2 linked regions of the Nothobranchius furzeri genome follow. The protein of the gene in region 1 interacts with the protein of each later gene in a biochemical or structural test. Links are inferred from orthologs where the notes say so. Each region holds a gene or a part of one and is shown in the gene's direction. Other genes may lie near its edges. The genes, in order: fga and plat.

The links.
Region 2: the proteins of fga (region 1) and plat form a complex in vitro, tested with the Homo sapiens proteins (2 studies listed by BioGRID). The link is inferred for Nothobranchius furzeri from reciprocal best matches to the Homo sapiens genes FGA and PLAT.

What each region holds. Positions count from the first base shown.
Region 1 is NC_091742.1:90,960,965-90,965,508, reverse strand, and holds the start of fga (fibrinogen alpha chain), read left to right. Parts: upstream 1-1,574; 5' UTR 1,575-1,680; coding exon 1,681-1,731; intron 1,732-2,888; coding exon 2,889-2,996; intron 2,997-3,202; coding exon 3,203-3,386; intron 3,387-3,508; coding exon 3,509-3,654; intron 3,655-4,066; coding exon 4,067-4,165; intron 4,166-4,236; coding exon 4,237-4,389; intron 4,390-4,544. UniProt on the Homo sapiens protein: Cleaved by the protease thrombin to yield monomers which, together with fibrinogen beta (FGB) and fibrinogen gamma (FGG), polymerize to form an insoluble fibrin matrix. Fibrin has a major function in hemostasis as one of the primary components of blood clots.
Region 2 is NC_091757.1:55,676,465-55,681,062, forward strand, and holds the start of plat (tissue-type plasminogen activator), read left to right. Parts: upstream 1-1,685; 5' UTR 1,686-1,785; intron 1,786-4,598. UniProt on the Homo sapiens protein: Converts the abundant, but inactive, zymogen plasminogen to plasmin by hydrolyzing a single Arg-Val bond in plasminogen.

The sequences.
Region 1 (4,544 bases):
GCTGCCTGAATGACACTTTTGCTCTGGAGGATTGCCCTGCACCATGGCTGGAACAGCACCAGTTCAGACACGCTGCTTGTAGGCAGTTTGTTTTGTGGCAGCATGTGACAGGGGTTGCACGAAAATAAGCAATCAATGATGAACAGTCTGCTTCTAGACCTGCAGAAATGGGACACACAACAATACAACAGGAGTAAGCTATCACTGTGTCAACTTGATGAAGAAATGTAAAAATCAACATTGTTTAACTGAACAATCACACGATAATAAATCACAGTGCATTTAGTGCCAACCACAGCCTTAAGACGTGTGTTGAACGTGCCCAAGTCCATACTTATGAGAGCACCATGTGAGCACCTGTGTGCGTACACGCGTTTGTATATGTAAGGTTTTTCTATAGGAGCGTCCAATAGAGAGTATGAGGGGCCACAGATCTTCCCCCCAAAGATACGTAGGAGATGGAGGGAGCTCCAAGTCCCAGAGATCCGGGAGCTGCCCCAGAGCACAGGAACCCCAAGGAGACCGCAACAAGAAAAGCCCCTGCCCCCCTCGAGAGGCGCAGAGGAAAGCCTCGGGTGGCCACAACCAGCAGCCGGTGGAGTTCTGGAAGATATCGGCGGCAAGCCCACAGGCCCGCCCGCAGCCTCCCACCCCGCAACCGGCCAAGCCCGGGGCCCAGGGGCGACCACCCTCACCGGGGACCCAGCAGAGCCCAGGGACCCAGACCCCACCAGGCAGCCACCGGGATTGATCAGGCAAACGCCAAAAATCTTAAACCCCCTGACCTGGGAGCCACGAACACTCAGGCAGACCAAGGCACCACACCCCACACCAGGTGTGGCAGGCAGAGGGGAGGCGAAGATCTATATCATCAAAAGAAGTCCCAGGAGAGGGGAGGAGTCAAAGGCGCCACCTGACATATGCAGTCATACACAAACACAGTCACACACTCCCTCCCTTATGCTCACACATGCACATACAACCAAAGACTTACAAAAATGCACGCCGGACACCCACTCATGCTCCCCATACACACCCTATTCACTCTGGTCCCGGTACTGCTGCACATGGGGTACAACCATTACCGGTTCCCAGAGTTTGACCCTTTCTGCTGGGGTGCTGATGAGCAGGTTCCCCCGCCCAACGCTGAGCACAGCAACCCACCACCCCAGACCCCAACCAGACGGCCAGATCTCCCTCCTCCAGCCCCAGGAAGCCAAGCTGGTTCTGGTTTCTGTGTTAAACTGTTCTAATTTCATCATAGTCCCAGAAAACACACACACGCACACACACACACACACACACACACACACACACACACACACACACACACACACACACACACACACACACACACACACACACACACACACACACACACACACACACACACATTTATAAAAGAGATCTGATCCCTGATGGGTCAGCAGGTCAGATGTTCCTGCAGCTTTACTCACCTGTGTGGGAACAGCTGACTCAGCGGTGTGTTTTGGGTTGTTTTTGTGTATTTTGTGTGTTAGTTTTGTGAGTTCAGACACACTAAGTACAACAAACAGACGGTCGGTGTGAGCAGGAGGTCGTTGCTCAACTCTGACCGGACCTGACGGAGGTTCTGAGGTCGGACGCTTGATAAGACCCGGCAGCGGGGCAGCAGGAACATTCAGAGGAAGAACCAGAGAGATGAAGATGATGAGGTTACTGGTCTGTCTGGTGTGTGTTGCTGTGACTCAGGTGAGCTCCACTTTATCCTCTAGAAAATTCATGAAATGATCTCACCTGTAAGTTTGACTGGTTTAACTGGTCAAATTCATCCTGTTTGACCAAATCTAGAACCAGATACTCTTAATGTTTATTTGTCTGTACGAGTTATTGAATGAAAATGCAGCTTTTATAAAAATAATAATAATAATAACAATAACAATAATAATAATAATAATAATAATAAATAATTAATAATAATAAAGGCTGGGCAGAAACTGGAGGATGCCATTAGTGTGAATGTAGAATAAAAGGAAATTACATTTTTCCTGATAATTTCGTAAAAAATGTTAAAATCTTTCATTTAAAGGCAGAAATTACAAGAATATAATTATATTTTTCTGGCTGACTTTAAAATTGATAGAAAAAAACGGAATTATTTACTTGAATCTGAAGGAAAAAAATGACTGAGCTGAGTAAATAAATAAGACATATGTTCTGGTTTTATTGAGAAGAAATTACAGGAAAATTTCAAAAATTCCCAAACGTTCTTCCTCTGACAACAGAACCAAATGTATTCTGAGAAGGTCGTCTTTTACTTCCCAAATATCTGGGACATTTCAGAACATTATAATGAATACATTAAAATAGTTGCTGGTGAATATTAAGTGAAGATCTGAGAGGTTTTCCTCGTTATCTCATAATATTTATCAGGTTTTGTGTTTAAACGTTTGTTTTATACTGAGAAAGTTAGAATTTAAGATGAACCAGTAGAAACCCACAAAGCCACCTGGACCTACCCAGACCGCTGGAAGAACATCGGTTTAGAGCTGCAGCTGATGCAGGAGCGTTTAAAATCATTTATATTTGCCGAGAAACGTAAAACAAGGCCTCAGACTTCTGAGATTAGAGTTAGGATTGTGACTGTTTCTCTGAATCTTCTCTAAATATCAGTTATAAGAGAGAACCATGATGTCGTCTTTGGACACAAAAACCGAAAAGCTGCATTTTTTTTATTTTATCTACATTTAAAGTAACCAGGAGCCGTGGTGGAAGGCCCACCGAGCTACTAGTAGCTCCAGAGCCGCAGATTTCAGACCCCTGAACGAGACGTGGTTCATCGGGTGAACAGGTGCGTGCTAGGGTCTTCCACTCTGGTGCTACATTAGTGTCCATTTCATCTACTACAGGTTGCGTCTCAGGTTGACCCGAGAGGAGCCCGTCCTGTGGAGCCTGCTACCCGATCAGACAAATGTTCCACCCAGAAGGAGTGGCCCTTCTGCACCGATGATGACTGGGTAATTCTGCTCTTCATCACCTCATAATCCACCCGTCAGAGCTGCTGATGCTCAGGAGAGCAGGAAGGATCACTCCAACGTTGAAACTCTTAATTCCAACTTCTCACATGACAGATTAAATGTCTTTAGTGGCACGAAGAGCCTTCCACAGATTTTAATCCCTCCTTGGTGTCTGACGCTCAAACTGTTGCTTTGTGCTCCACCAGCTCTCCAAATGCCCGTCAGGCTGCAGGATTCAGGGCTTGATGGATAAAGCGGACCATGAGCTGCTGAAGAAGATCGAGAAGATCCGCAGCCTCCTGAACCAGAACAAGGCCAAGCATCGCTCCACCGACCAGGTGTCCAAACAGACCTACGACTACCTACGGGACAGACTCACCACCGATTCTGGTCCGTTTGAGGAGAAACCTTTCATATCTGACACACTTTAAGAAGGAAAGCGAGGAGAAACAGACTCGGAGAAGGTAGGAGGGTGTTTGGTTGGAGCTGATCATGAACATGTTTGACTACAGGAAACAACAACAACTACTACGACCTGGCCCAAAGCCTCCGACAGAGGATCACCGACATGAAGATCAGGATCGACAATCAGATGAACACTCTGGCTGCCCTGAAGAATCGGGTCAAAAACCAGGTCACCGAGATGCAGAGGCTGGAGGTACGGAGAGTCTGCAGGGACAAAAACAAAGTCTTAGTCCTGAAAACGACACGAATCAGCTGTTTTTATCTGAACATAGAAAATATAAAGATTAACAAACAGAACATCAAACTATTAGCTAAATTAGGTAATTTCCTGTTACTAAAACAACAAAAACACCTATTAGACCCAAAAGATCCTCCTGCTGTTTAGAAGCAAACATCAGAGGAGTCTAACCGGAGTTTAAATTCATTCTGTAACAAATAACGTCCAATTTTCCATGAAGTTCCCACAAAGCTTTAAATGTTGTTCTGCTGCCACCAAAAACTCTAGTCTAGTTATAGATAGATTAACATCAGAGCTACCTGACTGGTGCAGGGTTATCTGAGTATTTGCTGCCCAGATTCATCTCTCCAACCTTGTCTTCTGTCAGGTTGACATCGACATTAAGCTCCGTTCCTGCAAAGGTTCCTGTGGTGGGTACAGCGAGTACCAGGTGGACAAGGAGAGCTACGTCAACCTGGATAAACAGGTAAATCAGGATAAATCGGACCTTTGTGAGGAGGAATTTCAGCCGGACTCATTCTTGGCACCCTCCCTCAGATGAGGCAGCTGGAGGCCCAGTCGGCCCAGAGCGTCGAGTCGGTCGGGACGCTGTATGTGATGAAGACCAGCTCTCTGCAGACTGCAGCTGCAGAAACCAGATTCAAATCCAAGGATGTAGGAGGTCAGAAGAAAGACGACGTCTTCTCTGAGGTGAGAAGAACTCGAGTCCAGAAGGTCTTGGGGTGAAGAAAAACACCTGAGAAGATCGGCAGCAGCCTGACAGCAAAATACAGAGATCTGCATCCTCTTTGACGTTGTGATAACACGCCTGAATGCTCCAGACCAGCAAATGCACAAGATACACA
Region 2 (4,598 bases), on another chromosome or scaffold:
AAGATCAGAATCCCTCTATGGTCTGGTAAATCAGAAATTAATGCATTATCACAAGAATTAAACTGAAAAAGTCAAAGTGAAACTTTAGCTAAAGGGGATCTCACTTATCTGGTATTTAAGTATAATAAAAATGATTTTGTGCAAAGATTCCTGTTTGTCTTCCTGCTGTTGACTTTGTCATTTTGTCAAATGTGGACAACAAGGTCTTAATCTCCGATGTCACTGGCACAGATTCTAGAAACATCAATTCAATGTCTCTTTATTCTTGATTTAACAATGAGATAAAACACGTTACCAGTCAGATCTGTCAAAATCTGTTTCTGTCTCAAAATAAAACTGAAGGAAAAATAAACACAGAGACAGTTGGAACCGACACCCAGCTGATTTACAGCCCAAAGCGCTGCTCTAAATCTGTTTTTCAGCACCAGAATAAAAAAGCATGAAGCATCCCACTGAAACAGGAACGGCATGGTTCTGAGGATGAAAGGAACTGGAACTGATTTTCTGAGGAAGGGATGGAGCCCGTGGTTCTGAAAAATGAGTTCTGGTTCTGGCTGGATCCGTCCCTCAGCTTCTCAGAGACCACTCAAGAGTCCTGTTGGATTATCATTTATGTCAATCAGATGCCGCCAAAATGAGCTTTTAAACTCAAGTAAATAATAAAGAAAAAAAATATTAAAGTGCTTTACTCTCCAGCTTTAAACTTTATTAAAACCGTGTTTTGTTCTGAATAGTGCTGTTGGTGAGTATTTATGGTTTATGAAGAATAAAAATGCCCAAAGGTTGTTTTTCTTTTCTTTTCAAGGCAAACTTAAATTAGAGAAGACACGGTTTATGTCAAGTTTTATGAGATGTAATAAAATCTTTAAATGAAACTTATTTTTGCTGTTAAATTTAAATAGAAAATAAAGTTGATTATGATTCTAAATGACCTTCAGCTTTCTGTAAGTCCTCACCCGAGTCACAGGGAGGCGGGAGGACACCCTGGACAGGTCTCCTGTCCATCACGGGGACACACAGAGACAAATAACCACACACACACACACCAGGGGATCATTTAGAAAAGTTAATGAACCTAACCTGCATAATTTTGGTCTGTGGGACAAAACTAGAGAAAACCCACACAAGCAGAACATGCTAACTCGGCAGAATCTGTGTGGGAATCGAACCAGCAACCTTCTCGCTGTGAGGCACTGGTGCAACGTGTAGCCCTCTGTGTGATTCCATTTTTATTTTTTATTTTCTTTAACATTTAAAGTGTATGTTAGATTTTTTTCCACTGAAGACGGAGAATTTATTGAGATTAGCAATTTTATTTTCTTCCTCGTGTCTTTCTGAAAGATATACTGAACAGGAAAAAATCTGTTAATGAAGGGAAAAAGACAGTGGCCTTGTGAAAAATGTTAACATGATTATTATTACTTATCATTATTATTATTATAGACTAAGTTACAACTCTTACTGCTTTGAGGCAATGTTTTACAATAAAGTTTTCTAAAGAACAAGTTAAAGCGCTTCCTCCTCACGATGCTGCTGTAATGCTGAGAAAATATTTTTTAATAAATTCTCAGAAGAAAAAACTTCTGGTCTTATTTTCGATTAGGAAAATCCCCTCAGGATGAGCCCGAGTGCCTCCCAGGCCCCGCCCACAACAGCCATCATCCTCCCACGTTGACGTCACAGCTCCTCAGCCCTCCCCCTCAGGCACCGGGGGAACCGGAGAGGTCTGATAAAACCTGAACTCAAAGGAAGGACCCTGACAGAACCTGCAGGAGGACACATCTGGTAAGAAGATTATCTATCATTTACACTTCTGTCGTGCTGCTGGTCTACTTTTTTATCTGTTCAGCAACTTTCTTATTAATAAAGAAAAAAAAATTAAAACGCAGCAGAATTAATTGAGATTAGCAATCTTACTTTCTTCCTCATATCCACAAACTGCTAAGTCCTCACCAGAGTCACAGGGAGGCGGGAGGACACCCTGGACAGGTCTCCTGTCCATCACGGGGACACACAGAGACATATAAGCGCACACACACACACTTCTGTCGTGATGCTGGTCTACTTTTTTATCTGTTCATCAACTTTCTTATTAATAAAGAAAAACATTAAAACACAGCAGAATGAATGGTTTTGATAGGTGGATTCAGTTAGATAATTATTATTTTTAACATAAAGCAACATTTGAACTAAAACACCATGTTGTCTTCTATTTACTGTAATGTGTGCATTATTCAGTCCTGAGGAGGAGAAACGGGTTTTTTTTTATTTGCCTCACCTGTTCTATTAGTTTCCTGCTGCAGAGTAAATTCCTGCACCGCTGCTGACTTCACAGTCCTGAGCGCCTTTAAGGAACTTAATTAGTGGTTGGTGTGAAGCAACGCTCATGGCATTCTGTGGCTCCATCATTAGGCGTGTTAAGGGTGAGTGTGCAAAGCTGCTCACACCGGATTCATCATGTCCAGACTCTTATCAGGATCATCTGGATTAGGGACAGAAGGTCTAACGCTGACATCCTCCATGAAACTGGTACTCCATTCATGTTTGATCAGCATCTCCATCTGTGACCCTGACACTGACTCTACACCACACAAAAGCCTCCATCTGTTTCCATCCTGGGAGATGGGATGACTCAGAGTGGCTCATTTTCTTTCTGCTGACCTTTGGAATTTGATTCCCTCTCTCTTGTTTTATCCCCCATTTATCCATCCTTTCAACTCGTTTCCTGGAACTGTCTCACGCACCGTTACGACCCCAGTTTACACCCGATGTCGACTCCTTGATATTTGTGTTTCTTCCTGAAAAGGAGTTTGTGGTGCTGTTGCTCACGGGGGGGGGGGGGGGGGGGGGGGGGGGGGGGGGGGTAGGCAACAACGCGAGCTTCTGTAGAGCCCTGCAGGTTTACCCAAGCCTGACCAAAATCCCTGATGGGAAAAGGACAAATAACGCCATGACATCACCAGAAAGTGCTGGTGAATATCATCTCAAAAGGTCTAAAACTTACTTTGAAGATGACAAAATTTACTATTTGTGTTCTCTGGAGACCCGCAAATTACACATGGAAATACTATAATTATAGTTAAGAATCAAACAAAGAAAATTGGACAGGAATTCCTGTTTATGTTTCCATTTTCTCCACTAAAACCAGTGCAGCACCTCATTTATGTACCATTTTCCTGCATATTTGATGTAACTTCCTCCCTTTTCTATTAATTTCTTTGACAACATGAAGCATATTTTATAATACAGGCCTTGTAATGAGTTTGGTACACCTTGAACTTTCAGTAACTCTAATTATTTAATAGACAAAAAAAAGTTGTTTTATCATTGGCTGCAAGCTAGAACAGCTAATTTGTGTTTTTTGCTTTGCATTTGTCTTTCTGTGCGGTTGTTCCTGTGTAAAGGTCTTAGATATAATTTTAAAGGACTCAGTCATGAACCAGAAATACTGACATGATGTATTTAAATGTAAATCAACATGCTTGTTTATTCCAAAACACCAAAAATTAAAACTTCAGAAGGAGCACTGCACCAACGCTGATGCAGAAACAGGAAGAGAAACTTTAAAAAATGCTTTCAACTGCAGTTCAGACTTTTATTTTCTGACTTGTCAGCCAGGTGCGACTGTGCTGCTGCACCACTAAACCCTTCCCACTTTGGTATTTTAGTTTTGTGGCACAAATAAAAGAATGTCTCACCTTCTAAAGCTCAACACAACATCGTGATTACCCGTCTTTTCACATCACCGTCGCTGCAATGTCAAACGCTGTGGTCACCGAGGAAGAGCAGTTCCTAAAATACACAGAAATGTCACGCAACTCCTGGCATTCACTTCCAGCTGGGATATTACCGCTGTGTGTGTGCGTGTGTGTGTGTGTGTGTGTGTGTGTGTGTGTGTGTGTGTGTGTGTGTTTGCCTTGCAGTGAATTGCACTTGTTTGCTGAACGTAAGTGCCTCATCTTCAAACCTGCTATTATGACTCACAGTATGGCCTCTAAATTACCAAACTTGTTTTGGATCCATCCGGTCATATGTGACCCACTTACAGGCCGAAACACACGAGTTTCAGCTGTTCACAGATCAGTGTCACACCCATGGACGTAATTTTCACTTTAGAAGTGGGGGGGGGGGGGACACACCGGGGGGGGGGGGGGGGATCTTTACAGTATGCTCTAAATTGAAACAGGCTTCAACACAAATGGTTGTTTTCCGCTTGGTCCTAGAGCTCAACCAGTGTCAATTTAATAAAGCGTAATATTGTTTTTGGATGGTAAAAAGTGCAGGGGTCAAAACTTGATTTTGGAAAAAGTGCCACCCCCCCCCCCCCCACCCCACCCCAAAATTACGTCCATGGTCACAACCAGGGGCGGTTCTAGGCCAAATTTTCCAGGGGGGCCACAGTGGGGCCAGTATTTTTTCATGGGGGCGCAAGAAAAAAAAGGGAAAAATTAGTGCAATATCAAAATTCTTTTTTGTCGTCGCCATATGACAAATTTTGTGCTTGTGCACAATTTTGCCAAAAGGAAATTCATTGATGTCAGGAAAATAAACTGTAGTGCTTGCATTCGTCTCTCAGCGTCTTTTCCGTTAGTCGTCCT